Canis lupus familiaris: one gene and its partners. The protein of the gene in region 1 interacts with the protein of each later gene in a biochemical or structural test. Links are inferred from orthologs where the notes say so. Each region holds a gene or a part of one and is shown in the gene's direction. Other genes may lie near its edges.

What was found.
Region 2: the proteins of E2F1 (region 1) and PHB form a complex in vitro, tested with the Homo sapiens proteins (2 studies listed by BioGRID). The link is inferred for Canis lupus familiaris from reciprocal best matches to the Homo sapiens genes E2F1 and PHB1.
Region 3: the proteins of E2F1 (region 1) and RBL1 form a complex in vitro, tested with the Homo sapiens proteins (2 studies listed by BioGRID). The link is inferred for Canis lupus familiaris from reciprocal best matches to the Homo sapiens genes E2F1 and RBL1.

What each region holds. Positions count from the first base shown.
Region 1 is NC_049245.1:23,405,716-23,409,895, reverse strand, and holds the start of E2F1 (transcription factor E2F1), read left to right. Parts: upstream 1-1,372; 5' UTR 1,373-1,387; coding exon 1,388-1,648; intron 1,649-4,180. UniProt on the Homo sapiens protein: Transcription activator that binds DNA cooperatively with DP proteins through the E2 recognition site, 5'-TTTC[CG]CGC-3' found in the promoter region of a number of genes whose products are involved in cell cycle regulation or in DNA replication.
Region 2 is NC_049230.1:25,486,232-25,490,538, reverse strand, and holds the start of PHB (prohibitin), read left to right. Parts: upstream 1-1,501; 5' UTR 1,502-1,538; intron 1,539-3,176; 5' UTR 3,177-3,203; coding exon 3,204-3,291; intron 3,292-4,307.
Region 3 is NC_049245.1:26,323,130-26,327,392, reverse strand, and holds the start of RBL1 (retinoblastoma-like protein 1), read left to right. Parts: upstream 1-1,457; 5' UTR 1,458-1,541; coding exon 1,542-1,697; intron 1,698-1,795; exon of another isoform or gene 1,796-2,451; intron 2,452-2,549; exon of another isoform or gene 2,550-2,688; intron 2,689-4,263. UniProt on the Homo sapiens protein: Key regulator of entry into cell division. Directly involved in heterochromatin formation by maintaining overall chromatin structure and, in particular, that of constitutive heterochromatin by stabilizing histone methylation.

The sequences.
Region 1 (4,180 bases):
CTGTTGGAGCTCCCAGTCTAGTAGGAGAGGCAGATGGAGAAACTGAGTGTGTGGTCAGTGTTGGGACAGAGGCAGCACTGGGCAATGGAGGAAGTGAGTAATTAGGACTCTGGAGGCTCTCTGGAGGAAGTCATGTATATTCTGGGCTTAGGGATTTGATCCTTGTTTGTGTATTAGCTCCCCCCCCCCCCCCGTGGGTCATCTCCACCAGATGGCAGGCAAGTTCATAGAAATGATCAAGTCTCACGTCTCTGCCCTCAAAGCTGGCACAAGGCCTGGCACAGAGGAGAGGACAATATTGGTCAAATCAGCTGACCTGAGCAATGAGAAATGGCTGATGGAGAGGTCCCAGGGCCTCCGGATTAACTGCATTTTCATGCTCAGCACCCTTACCTCCTCCCTTTGTGAACTCTAACGTGGAGTTAATGGTGGAAATTCCTCCTCATATTCCAAGCATTCGTTACTTCTATTCCTCTCCTTCTCTTTTCACAAGACCGAGCTCTTCAAGGTCTGAACTAAGAATGGGGCACAGAGCAGGCTCTCAAAAACGTTTGTTGAATAAATGGGTGAATAAATGAGTTCAAGCAGAAGCTGTGCATCGGCTATTGAAGAGATTCCAGCTAAAAGGGGGCTTACAGGAAAGCCCCAAGCTGTATTGGGCCAGATGTCCCTCCTCATTTTCTAACAGCCCGCTTCTGCTGGGGCTCCGGGTGAGAGGGACAGGGCAGGTGCAGGATTTGAAAGTAAATGGTATAGATGGGGCAAGTTGAGGATGGGAGCGGCAGCTGGGGCTTTGGAGACAGGCCTGACCATAGAAAAAAGGAAGGGCAGTTTCTAAGTGATTCAGACTAAGGTTGTTGGGGCTACAGGTGGCGGAGTCTAGGGGGTCACGGGAGGTCCGAATACGGTGTGAAGCGCAGAACGGACACTGACCCAAAGGGCTCCACATGCCGGGACCCGGAGTCCGCGGGGCGTCGGGGTGCGAGCCGCGCCACCACGCCCGGGGTAGGGACAGTCCCGGCTGGGGGCGGGGAGTGCGAGAGCTCCTGGCACCGCCCCGACAAAGCCTGCGCGCGCCCGGCCCCGCGATTGGCCGCGCCTCCTCGCGCCGACGCCCCGTCCCGCCCACCGCCGCCGGTCCGGCACGCTGCAGCCAATGGACCCCGTCGCCGTCGCCTACGTCACGGGCCCGACAGCCAATGGTCAGAGCGCTCGGCGGCTCGTGGCTCTTTCGCGGCAAAAAGGATTTGGCGCGTAAAAGTGGCCGGGACTTTGCAGGCAGCGGCGGCCGGGGGCGGAGCGGGATCGAGCCCTCGCCGCGGCCTGCCGCCATGGGCCCGCGCCGCCGCCGCCGCCTGCCACCCGGGCCGCGCGGGCCGTGAGCGCCATGGCCGTGGCCGGGGCCCCCGCAGGCGGCCCATGCGCGCCGGCGCTGGAGGCCCTGCTCGGGGCCGGCGCGCTGCGGCTGCTCGACTCCTCGCAGATCGTCATCATCTCCACGGCGCAGGACGCCAGCGCCCCGCCGGCCCCCGCCGGCCCGGCCGCGCCGGCCGCTGGCCCCCGCGACCCCGACCTGCTGCTCTTCGCCACGCCGCAGGCGCCCCGGCCCACACCCAGCGCGCCGCGCCCTGCGCTCGGCCGCCCGCCGGTACGGACACCAGGGACACAGGGCCGAGTGCACGTCTGGACCCCCGTGCAGACCCGGTCGGGGCGCGGTTTTTGGCCCGGAGGCAACGGGGGCGGGGGGAGGGGGTGGGCCGAGGCTCCCGGGCTGGGCGGGGTCGAGCCTGGGTTGGGCCTCCGGGCCCCGCCCCGGGATGCGGGGTGACCTCGGGCCAGTCGCTGTTTGCTCCTCTGCTCTGGGCCTCGGCTTTCCCCGAGCCGCTCGAGGGTCAGACTCAGTGGTAATAATAGCCCACGTGTATTCAGCTGGTGTTGCCTGCATGCCAGGTCTCTGGCGAACTTCGAGCCAGAACTCACAACCATGCTGTGAGCTCAGTGTTGTCACTGTGCCCATCTGAACGGAGGCCCGGAGAGGGGAAGTGACTTGCCCCCGGTCATACGGCTGCAAGTGGTGGGGCTGGGATTTGAACTGAGGCCTGCTGGCTCCAGACCAGAACTCGTGGCAGGGTAGTGGACAGGGCCCCTTGAGGAGGTCGAGGGGGCTATCCTGGGGCCAGACTGCTGAAAGAGTCATTGAGGAGACCCTCCTTCCTGCCTAGATGCTCCACTGCCAGGTGCAGGCCTGGGCCTCTGGGCCTCTGGGGACAGGCCTCCTGGCTGGGAGGCCTTCTCTGCAGGGGCGGGGTGGCTGGGCCAGCTGCTGATCCCCTCCCTCTGCCTGTCCTTCCATCTGCCACCCTCCACCCTCACAGGCCCTGGTTGCCATGGAGCCTCATTAATCAGGCAGGCAGACCCCTAGGCCCCCAGGGAAGTAATGGGTGGGCTGGGCCTCTGGGAGCTGGAGTGGAGGCCCCCAGTGCCAGGAGAGAGTAAATATTCCAGGGAGATGCCTTGATAAAGTGCTCCCTGAGCAGCAAGAGGCTCAGGAGCAATTTGGACTGGGGGCCCCAGAAAAGATTGCTTAATTACTGGAGAGCAGGGCCTAGAGGCCTGGAGCTTGGACCTGTGAGCTGCAGGACTGGGCGTGGAGACCAGCTTGACTGTCAGGGCCTGTGGGTGAAGGTGGGGCATGGAAGGCTGCTGGCAGGGGGCAGGGGCCAGGCCAGCCAGGCAGGAGGGGGTCTCAGCAGGGGGCCTGGAGCAAGTAGGAGGGGTGAAGCAGAGCCCGGGCAAGGAGGTGGAAGCTATCCAACTGCTTATGGGGGCCTGGGTGGCAGCTGGTCCCTGAGGCATCCCGGCAAGTCTCCCCTAACTCCCTTGGCCCCTCGCCCAGCCTAGCTCTGCCTTCCTTCCGGAATCACCAAGACGCTAATAATAATAACAATAGGAGCCACCATTGTTTTGAGACTGTTTTATATGTCAGGCTGTGTGCCAAGCACTTCACCCAGTTAACTCTCTCAACAACCATCCCCTTTTACAGATAGGGAAGCTGAGACCTAGAGATGATAGGTCATTCAGCTAGTGGAATGGTGGGACCAGTCCAGACTTCCTGAGCTGTTAACTAGTTAGCCACTGGGATGCCTTGCCTCCTAGAAATGTTAATAATACAGGTTGAAGGAAGTTAGGAACCCTTCTGATGGGTAAAGGGAGGAGGATTGTACTAAGGGTGGGTCACCTCTATCCCAGGGGCCTTTTTTCTCTGCAGGTGCCAGCCTGGGGCTTGGACCTGAAAACTGCATTTAGCTGACTGACAAGTACTTAGCCGACCTGGGGCTGTAGAAGCTGAGCTCCAGGCCCAGAGGGCTGCCAGAGACTGGGCTGAGGAAATGTACCCACCCCACCCCCAGCAGTGTCAGGGGCAGCCTTGTGGGCCTGAGCATTCCATCCATTCTACTGTTGAGTTAGTGAACTGCCCAAAAGGTACTAGACAATGGGCAAAGAAGGAGCCTCTGCCCTCACAGCTTTGAAGCACTAGTATCCATTTTCTGCCGGTGGGTGGGGGTGAGGGCTGGCACCACCCCAGAGCTGAAGTCCAGAAACACCCCCTCCAAGACTCTCCACTCTTGTACCTCTGGTCAGCCACTGGCCGATTGAGCTGTGGCCTCCTCTGACCCTCTGCACTGACATTTGTGTGAGGCAGTCTTTGAAACAAGCTACGGGTTCAGCTTCTGCATCAGTGAGCATTCATTGAGCACCTCTAGCATGCAAGACTCTACAACTCAGCCATTCCTCCTGGCACTTCCTGTCCACCTCTATCCTGTTGTCATAGCTGTTAAAAAGCAAATTAAAACATTTACTATAGAAAAAGTTAAGAGGCTAAAAAGTTGAAGGATGCCAACACCATTCATTTTTCCTCCTGTTTTCTTTTCCTAAGCCTGTTTTTTTTTAAAAAAGATGGTTGTGACAGCTTTTTTTTCCCCTTAAATTTTAAAAATTGTAGTTTTTCCTTTGTTTCTATGTTCAAACAGTAGATCATCCCCATTTTATAGATATAGTAACAGTCCCCCCATGGTTGTCCTCCACCCACATACCATACAGAGGTTACCCCTAGAATGGATTCTAGAATATTAGACACTGAACCAGAGAAAAATGTTTCATGTTTTTAATCCAAAAAGGG
Region 2 (4,307 bases), on another chromosome or scaffold:
TAATATTAGACTGCATCCTGTATGGGGGTGGGGGTGTGTGGAAATTGCTATAAAGTTCATTATTGGGTCAATGGATAAAATTGGAATGCAGAGGATAGGCTTACTTAAGTTATATAAGAGGATGCCCCTATTCTTAGAAAATACACAGAGATAAGATGGGAAATGAGAGAGAGAGAACAAATTAATGGAGGAAAGATGTTAGGGATTGAAGCCGACAGCCAAGAAAGAATTCTTACTACATCTTTGGATATATGAAAGCACAGGGGCAGGACCTGTGGGCAGAAAGAGCTGTACTGGGGTCCTGAGGAGGGGCCCATTATATGCTTTCAAGTTGGGAGGGGGTTAGGGATAGCGTGCGTCTCTATGGAATTTTGGAAGCAGGGTTTCCAGGATCTTGAGGGGGCTGCCTATTGTTGGGAAAAGTCATCTATTATTGTCTAATAAACCCTTAGTCATGAGACCCTTCAGATGTGTATCGGTGGGTCATATGCTTGGGGAATGATTGCCAGCACATATCTTGGGGAGGGGGGAGGGGGGAGAAAAAGGAAATTTCCAAAGGAATTTTTATATGTTAAAGTAGATTTACAGAGTCCTGGGGGTGGAGCTAAGATTCCCTTTTGCCCTTAGCAAAGTATTAAGATGGAGATAGTAGAGCTCTTAGAGGAACATCACTCTGCCTATTTTAAGGACTTATCAATGGACTGCAGGTAGTAAGGAAATTTAATAATTTCTCTTCTGCTTTTGTTACCCACATCACAAATGATAGAATATATGAAACAAAACGTTAGCCATAGATGAATGTAAGGGATATATGTGTTGTTTTATTCTTGCCACTTTTCCATTTTTTTTTTTAATAGTGTACAGGGAACACAGGACTCTAAGCCCAGCCCCTTTGCTAAATTGGTGCATGACCCTGAATGAATCCCTTCCTCTTTTTCTAGAACCTCTTTTCTAAGGTAGTCTCTGGCTGTGGTAACCAATGTCCCGCGACTCAGGACACTTCCTGACAAGGCTTTGGAAAGGTGGCCCCGTGTGCTTCCCCTCAAGGTCTCTAAGCCCACCAGTTATCTACCTACAACTTTCCCCAGGGTGTCCACCCGTCCTCCTTCGTCAGCCATAAACCTGTCCCAGCCCATCCCTGCCGCCACCATCCGCATGCCCAGCGACTCTTCCGAGGGCCCTAAGGTCCACCTTCCTGCAGGCTCTAGCACAGGTTCAGGACAAGCACGTGCATTTATCCCCAAAAAACTACAGCCCCCAAAAGGCTTTGCGACAACCTTTCGACGTTACCCACCAAAGAGGAAAGGCTTTCCAGCGCGGGCCCGACATTAAATGGCTCTTTGGGAATTGTAGTTCATTTGCGAAGACCAGGGGAACCAGGGTGAGGCCGCAAGCCACCCTTCCCAGAATGCACAGCGCTCTTTCCCACCAATCGGAGGCCCGGATCTTGGAAAGGGGGCGGGGAAGAGAAGGGGCTGCCCAGCGCATGCGCGGTACGTGTGGCTGGGGAATTCATGTGGAGGTCAGAGTGGAAGCAGGTGAGAATGGAGGGAACGCGTTCGGCTGGTGTTCGGGCGCCTCTGCAGCTCCGCTCCGCGTTCCCGTTCGCAATTTGGGCGGGCAGGATGCGTGCGTCGGTCTGCCTCGCGTCGGAGGGGAGGGGGGTGAGCCCGGGACCAGCCAGGAATTGCGTCGTGTAAGGGAGGCGTGCATGGGGGCGGGGTGAGGAATAATCCAGAAGCTGTTGGAAATGGAAAAGCTGAGAGGTCCGAACTGTGTGTCCTGGCCTCAGGTTAGGAACAGTGAAGCACACCGGGAGCGATCAAGAAAGCCTCAGATCTGAGAGGGAGGGAGGGGGGAGGATTTGAATCTAAGTGGACGACGACGCTGGGGCGGGGCATTAATAAAGTTGTGTGCGGGAGTAGATTGAAGTTAGGTCCGTCGTGACCTTAGCCCCGCCCTCTCCCTTGCAGTGCATCTCTGGAGAGCCTTTTTGCCCCATTGGTTCTTCCGGTATCTTGGTCCCAGGATGCTCCCCAGATCCTGCTACCATCATAGCAAATCATTCTTTTTTTTTTTTTTTTTCTTCCCAAGACTTTAATTTCATGAGACACGCACAGAGAGAAGCAGAGACACAGGCAGAGGGAGAAGTAGGCTCTCTGCGGAGAGCCTGGTGCGGGACTGGATCCCAGGACCCCGGGATCATGACTTGAGCCAAAGGTAGACGCTCAACCAGTGAGCCCCCCAGGTGCCCCATGGCAGGTCATTCCTAATACTGGAGCGGAGAAATACTCCTCACAGTATGGTGAGGAGTTAAGTCATACCTACCCTAGACTTAGACCTCCAGGTTCTAGTCCTGGTTCCACTACGAAATGGCTTTGTGATCTTCCGCTTATCTTGTAAGTTTGCTGTGTGCCTCGGTTTCCTCATCTGTAATAACCTGCTTCATAGGGTTTGGTGTGAGGGTTAAATAATTGCCATTAGAAGACTGCCTCCTGGTATTAAAGGTAGCTGCTAGTGTCACTTATGCTGTTGGAATCACCATGTAGCACATTCTTTGAGTTACTTTTCCAAACCAGAATTGCACAGACCCTACCATATACAACCTTCGTCTTGGGGCCCACTTGTCCAGGAAGTGGAAGGGTGGTTTAGTGTGGTGTGAAATTCTCTGTGGGTAGCAAGCCCATACCTCATTCCTGTTATTGAATCAAGTGTCCCCAGACCCCTTTTCCTTAGTGGTAGAAAAAGAAAGAAGAAATGGAAAAATTTTGAAAGCAGAGGAATTAATACTGCACTTTTCCAAGCTGTAGAGTTATTTATTAGATGTCCCTCCATGCGAGATTTAGAGCTTTGAAGAATGGGGAAATAGGGGCACCTAGGTGGCTCTGTTGGTTAAGGGTCTACCTTCAGCTCAGGTCATGATCCCAGAGTCTTGGGTTCGAGCCCTGCATTGGGCTCCCTGCTCAGCGGGGAGCCTGCTTCTCCCTCTCCCTCTGACTGCCTCTCTGCACAATTGTGCACATGGTTCTCTCTCTCTGTCAAATAAATAAATTCTTTTAAAAAAAAAAAAAGTGGGGAAATAAATAGCCAGTTTGAGAAGTGAATATGGTGTCTCAGGGCTTTCTCTTAGAATTTTGAGATCAAGATGTTTTGTTTGTTTTGTTTTTATCCCATAGGTGTGAGTGGGTCCAGCAGAAGGAGATATGGCTGCCAAAGTGTTTGAGTCCATTGGCAAGTTCGGCCTGGCCTTAGCTGTTGCAGGAGGAGTGGTGAATTCTGCCTTGTATAATGGTGAGGTACTGGGGGAAGGGAGTCACTGCCCTTTGTCGGAGGATTTCTATTGGCTTGCACAGCCGATGTGACACTCCTGGTGGCCACCACTGTCTGTGAATATGTTTGTGACCCAAAGGGTCACCTGCTGCCATCCTACACCATATGGTTGCATTGTCACTTGAGCCTCTGTCCTGTAGCCATTGGTTCTCTCACAGCCTCTCTTCCCAAAGAGCTTCCCAGCCTACTTGTTGGTTAAACATTCCCAGTTGCTCTTACAGGTTTGAAGTGATGCTGCAGCACAGTGTCAGGATCTCACTGGTGTGAGGATTAAATAATTGCTGGCTAAATTAAATAGATTAAATAATCTCACTGGCTAGCTGAAATGGAGATCTCACGTATCCCCTTCTGCTTTGTGTGGTCACCTTTGGTGACCTTACCTGAGCAGGAACTTTTACTCTGCTGCATTTGGATCATTCCAGACAAAATACCTGCATTGTCCAGCCTGTTTTTTTTTGTTGTTGTTGTTGTTTTGTTTTGTTTTGTTTTGTTTTAAGATTTAATTTATTCATGAGAAACAGAGAGAGAGAGAGAGAGAGGCAGAGACACAGGTGGAGGGAGAAGCAGGCTCCATGCAGGGAGCCTGATGCAGGACTTGATCCCAGGCCTCCAGGGTCACGCCCTGGGCCGAAGGTGGCACCAAACCCCTGAGCAACCTGGGCTGCCCATTGCCCAGCTTTTAACAGTGAGGCAGGAGCTTAAGCTGACTTTTCTTCTGTGACCTTAGGCAAGCCATTTCCCCCTCTCTAGGTCTCAGCTTCTTTTTTGGTCAAACAGTAAGACTCAACTGGTTTTACCTCTAAGACTGCTTCCAACTCATATTTTCTGACTTTCATGGTTGGGAAGCAGCAGTAGATTGATCTGCCTCATGTGTGACTGTCTGGCAAGAGGAAGATTACTTTTCAGAGTGAAGATATTTGGAGCAACTCTGAAGTCTAATAAGGCAGAGACAGCAGCTGACAAGAAAAGCTTACTTG
Region 3 (4,263 bases), about 2.9 Mb from region 1:
CACCATCTCCACACCTCTAGTCTCTACTCCATCTGATCTATGTGTCCCACTGTAGCCAGAGAGACATTCCCAGAATGCTATGGGTCATTTATCACCTCTTTTCATTAAAACCTCCACTGATAACGTCTAGGCTTTTAGTAGGGTATATGAGGTCCTTTGTAACCTACCTTGACCTATCTTCCATTTTCATCTCTGGTGACTCCTTCCCTCATCCGGGCATCTTTGTAATTTTTCAAACACACTTTGTGAAGTACTGAGTGCCAACTATGAGCCAGGCGCTAATCTAAACTTCGTAATACAGTGAACATGAAAAATAGGTCCCTGCTCTCATGCGATTCACATTTTAGTAGGAAGAGCCAGTGAATAAACAAGATAATTTCAGATAGTTATAATGGTGCTATGAAAACCATGAAATGGGATGTTAGGGGGGTGGGTCAGCTAATTTTAGATAGTGCTCTGGAAGGGCCTGGGAAGGTAATACTTAGTTGAACTTGATGACAAGGAGCCGGACAAGCAAAGACCTGCTATAGAGTATTTTGGGACCGACTGATCAGCATGTGAGAAAGGCCTTGAGGCAAGAACTAGCTTGGCTGCTTGGCATTTTCAAGGTTCCAAAACTAAGCAGTGAGGCTGCACCTTGTTATATACTTGGGTGGGGGCAATGAGGTGAGGCCAGATCACAGGGGCCCTGTGGGCCACTGAGTTTGGATACGATTTTAAGGGCAAGAGGAATCTACTGAAAGATTTTGAGCTAAGGAGTGACAAGGTCTGGGCTCTTCCAGTGAAGGGTTTCAGTGGAGCCGAAGTATAAGCTTGGGAGACCAGTTGCATGCCTTCAGCCATGCGCTCAGGCCATTCCCAAGCCTGGAATGACGGCCCTTCGGGGAGCTGATTACTGCAAGTCTCTCAGCCCAGGTCAAGCCTAGTTTGCCTCGCCAGCCCTTCAACCATTCAACAGATCACTCACGGAGCACAGGAAAGCGTCCCGAAGCCTCCCGCCGTCACAGAACCACTTTTTTCTGTTCCTGCCTCCGTCTCCTAACTCAAGGGGCAAGGCTCAGTCAGACTATGTTTGGCGGGACGGTGACAAACCCAGGCCCGAGGGTTAGTGGTACAGAGAAGGCTTCTCGGTAAGACGATGGAGGCCCAAACCAAAGAGCCGGTTAGACCAGGGCGGCGCAGCGGGCGTCAGGACAGGCCACGGACTACAATTCCCAGCAGACTGCGCGCGCCGGCCGATCCCTCCGCACCAACTTACTCCGCCGGCTGGGCTCACCGCTGCCCGCCAAGGACCAAACTCAGGGCTTTTTTTCTGGAACTGAGGTCCATCTTCTTATCACAGTTCCAGAGCGAGACCACCGAGTGCCTTGCAGGAGAAACGGACTTTTTTGAGGAGAACTGCGGATGCAGACTGCCGGAGAGACGTCGCTCTGAAGCCGCCGAGTTTCGCGCGCTTTGGCGCGGGGGGTTGTGGGTAGCGCGCCCAGGAGGGAGAAAGGAGCCGGGGGGCTGTGACCGCGCCGCCCGCGGGGCCGGAGGGGATGTTCGAAGACGACCCGCACGCCGAGGGGGCGGCGGTAGTCGCCGCGGCCGGGGAGGCGCTGCAGGCCCTGTGCCAGGAGCTGAACCTGGACGAGGGGAGCGCGGCCGAAGCCCTGGACGACTTCACCGCCATCCGGGGCAACTACAGTCTAGAGGTGAGCGGCGGCAGGTGGGCGGCCGGACCCGACCCCCGCCAGGCCCCACCCCCGCCCCGCCCCTGCCCCACCCTGTGGGGCGGTGGGAGTTTACCCACCGGGAAGGGTCGCGGCCCCGCCGGGCGCCGCAGAGTGCGGAGGGGGACGGGCGCGCGTAGACACCGACTATCCATTTTCTTTCTGAGGCGGGAAACCGAAGTCCGGAAGAGGAGCGGCTAGTCCGAGGTCGCACGCCCCCTCGGCGGGGGAGGGGTGGGGGTTCCCTAGACTCCGACCAGCTTCGCTTCGCCCAGCCGAGCGCCGCGGACATCACGATAGCGCCTGTAAATCTATTAAAAAAACAAAAAACAAAAAACAAAACAAAACAAAAAAACCAAAGAACCAAATGCGGGAATGCTAAGAGCTGAAGTGAGCTATAGTGCTGACATCACCGCCCAAGCCCTTTAAACACGTCATCTCGGTTCTCGCCACAACCCGGAGAGCCCGACCCGTGACCCCCATCCCACGGGAGCGCCTAAGCTACGTGGCCAGGGGCGCGCGGCTGCTGGTGGAGCCGCGCGGGGAGTCGGAGCCTTCGGACCGCTCCCTCACCCCGCCCCGCGGCCTCGACGGGAGGGCGGAGGTGTGCGGTGCTGGCCTGCCCGAGAGCGTTCAGCAGGTGGGGCCCAGCCCTCAGCCCGCGCCTGGTCCCGCCTCAGGGCCCTGAGGCTTAGCGCAGCGCCTGGCTCTGAATAAGGTTAGTGTGGCCGGTCACTACCGGATTCCTCACCCCACGCCCACGCCCCAGCCCCGCCCTCGCCCTCGCGGGAGTCCTCACAGCCGCCCCGTGAACGTGGTAGCGCAGTATTGTACCTGCTCTCCGGGTAGAGGACTGGCCTGCCTGTCCAGGGCCATTCTGCTGTTTGTTATAGGAAGCCAGTGTAGACGTAGGAATGGGATTTATTTCAGCACTTCACTCTAAAATTCAGAGGCTTTCCCGCACAATCTGACTCACCGGGTAAAATAAGTAATTCCTGGGTTCAGAGGCATGTAGGTGGGTACGTGGAGTTGAGCGTGTACGTGTGTCTGTTACACGAGGCGGGAAAATACCTAAGAGAGACACTCTTACATGTCTCTGGGATAGGACCGGGTAAACTGGATACAGGACAGCGACCATCCATGGGTGGCACGGCTCAAGAAAGAATAAGAAAGTAAGGGGGGGATTATGGATTATGCCTACTCAATGAAAACAAACTAATTTTTAAATGCCTGAGAAGGTGTTTCTGACTTCCCAAGTCCTCTGTCATTGAATAAACATTTACTGAGTGAAAACTGTAGTCCAGGCATTAAACTAGGCACTCTTTCAAATTCTTTTTTTTTTTTTTTAATATTTATTTTAGAGAGCACGCAATGGGGAGGGATAGAGGGAGGGGGGCAGCCGACTCCGTGCTGAGCGGGAGCCCAATACAGGACTTGATTCTAGGACTCTGAGATCGTGACATCAGCAGAAACCAAGAGTCGGAGGCTCAACCAACTCGAGGCCACCCAGGTGCCCCTCAAATTCTTGAATATACCAAGTTTCTTCCCACCTGTGTGTTTTCTCCATGCCATTTGCTCTGCCTGGAAACTTCCCTCATCCCCTACAACAGGCTATTTGAAGAACTAAGTCTCAAGAAATAAGTCAGCTAGGTGGAGTTGATCAGGACATCTTAAATGTTTGATTTAGAAAACAGACGTGTGAGGGACGCCTGGGTAGCTCAGTGGTTGAGCATCTGCCTTTGGCTCAGGCGGTAATCCCAGAGTCCTGGGATCAAGTCCCACATCAGGCTTCCTGCAGGGAGCCTGCTTCTCCCTCTGCCTGTGTCTCTGCCTCTGTGTCTCTCATGAATGAATGAATAAATAAATAAATAAAATAAATAAAACACAGATGTGTGAATTAAGATTTGGTGACCATTTATTCTATCCTATGTCTTTTGTTCTCCTCCTCCTCTTTTTTTTTTTTCCTTTTGATTGTTTTTGGTGAAATGCTCTTGAAGTAGGTATTTTCATGTATCTACTGTTTCTTAAGCCCTCTCCCCAGCTCCTACCCCTTTCAGTATATTAGTATATCCCACTTACCCCCTTGTTTATCCCTCTCACCCTCTTAGATTTTGGTGATTCTCCACTCAACCATTTTAAGTCTCCCTCTGAATCCTCCTCTGACCTCTACTCAAAATCAGTTACTATATTCTCATACTTTATCTTCAATTCTTACAACATATATCTCACCAATTATAGATAACCGTTATCTATTCCTTTTCTTAACTCTAGATTTGGAATTACAGAGGTCAGAAACCATCTTTGTATTCTAAGGTCTAGTATCAAAGAATTAAGATAATATAGTTGTTTTTTTCTAGGACAAAAAGCAAAAATATCAATATTAATTTTTTTTCTATCTTAATGGTGTTTTCATCTAGTAACCTGTACCCAGAAGCTAATACTTGGATGTACTTCCCCAACAATTATTAATCAAGGTATCTAAAAATATGCAACCATAAGCTTACATGTCTCATTTAATACCTTGAGCATGTAAGACTTCTCACTACAT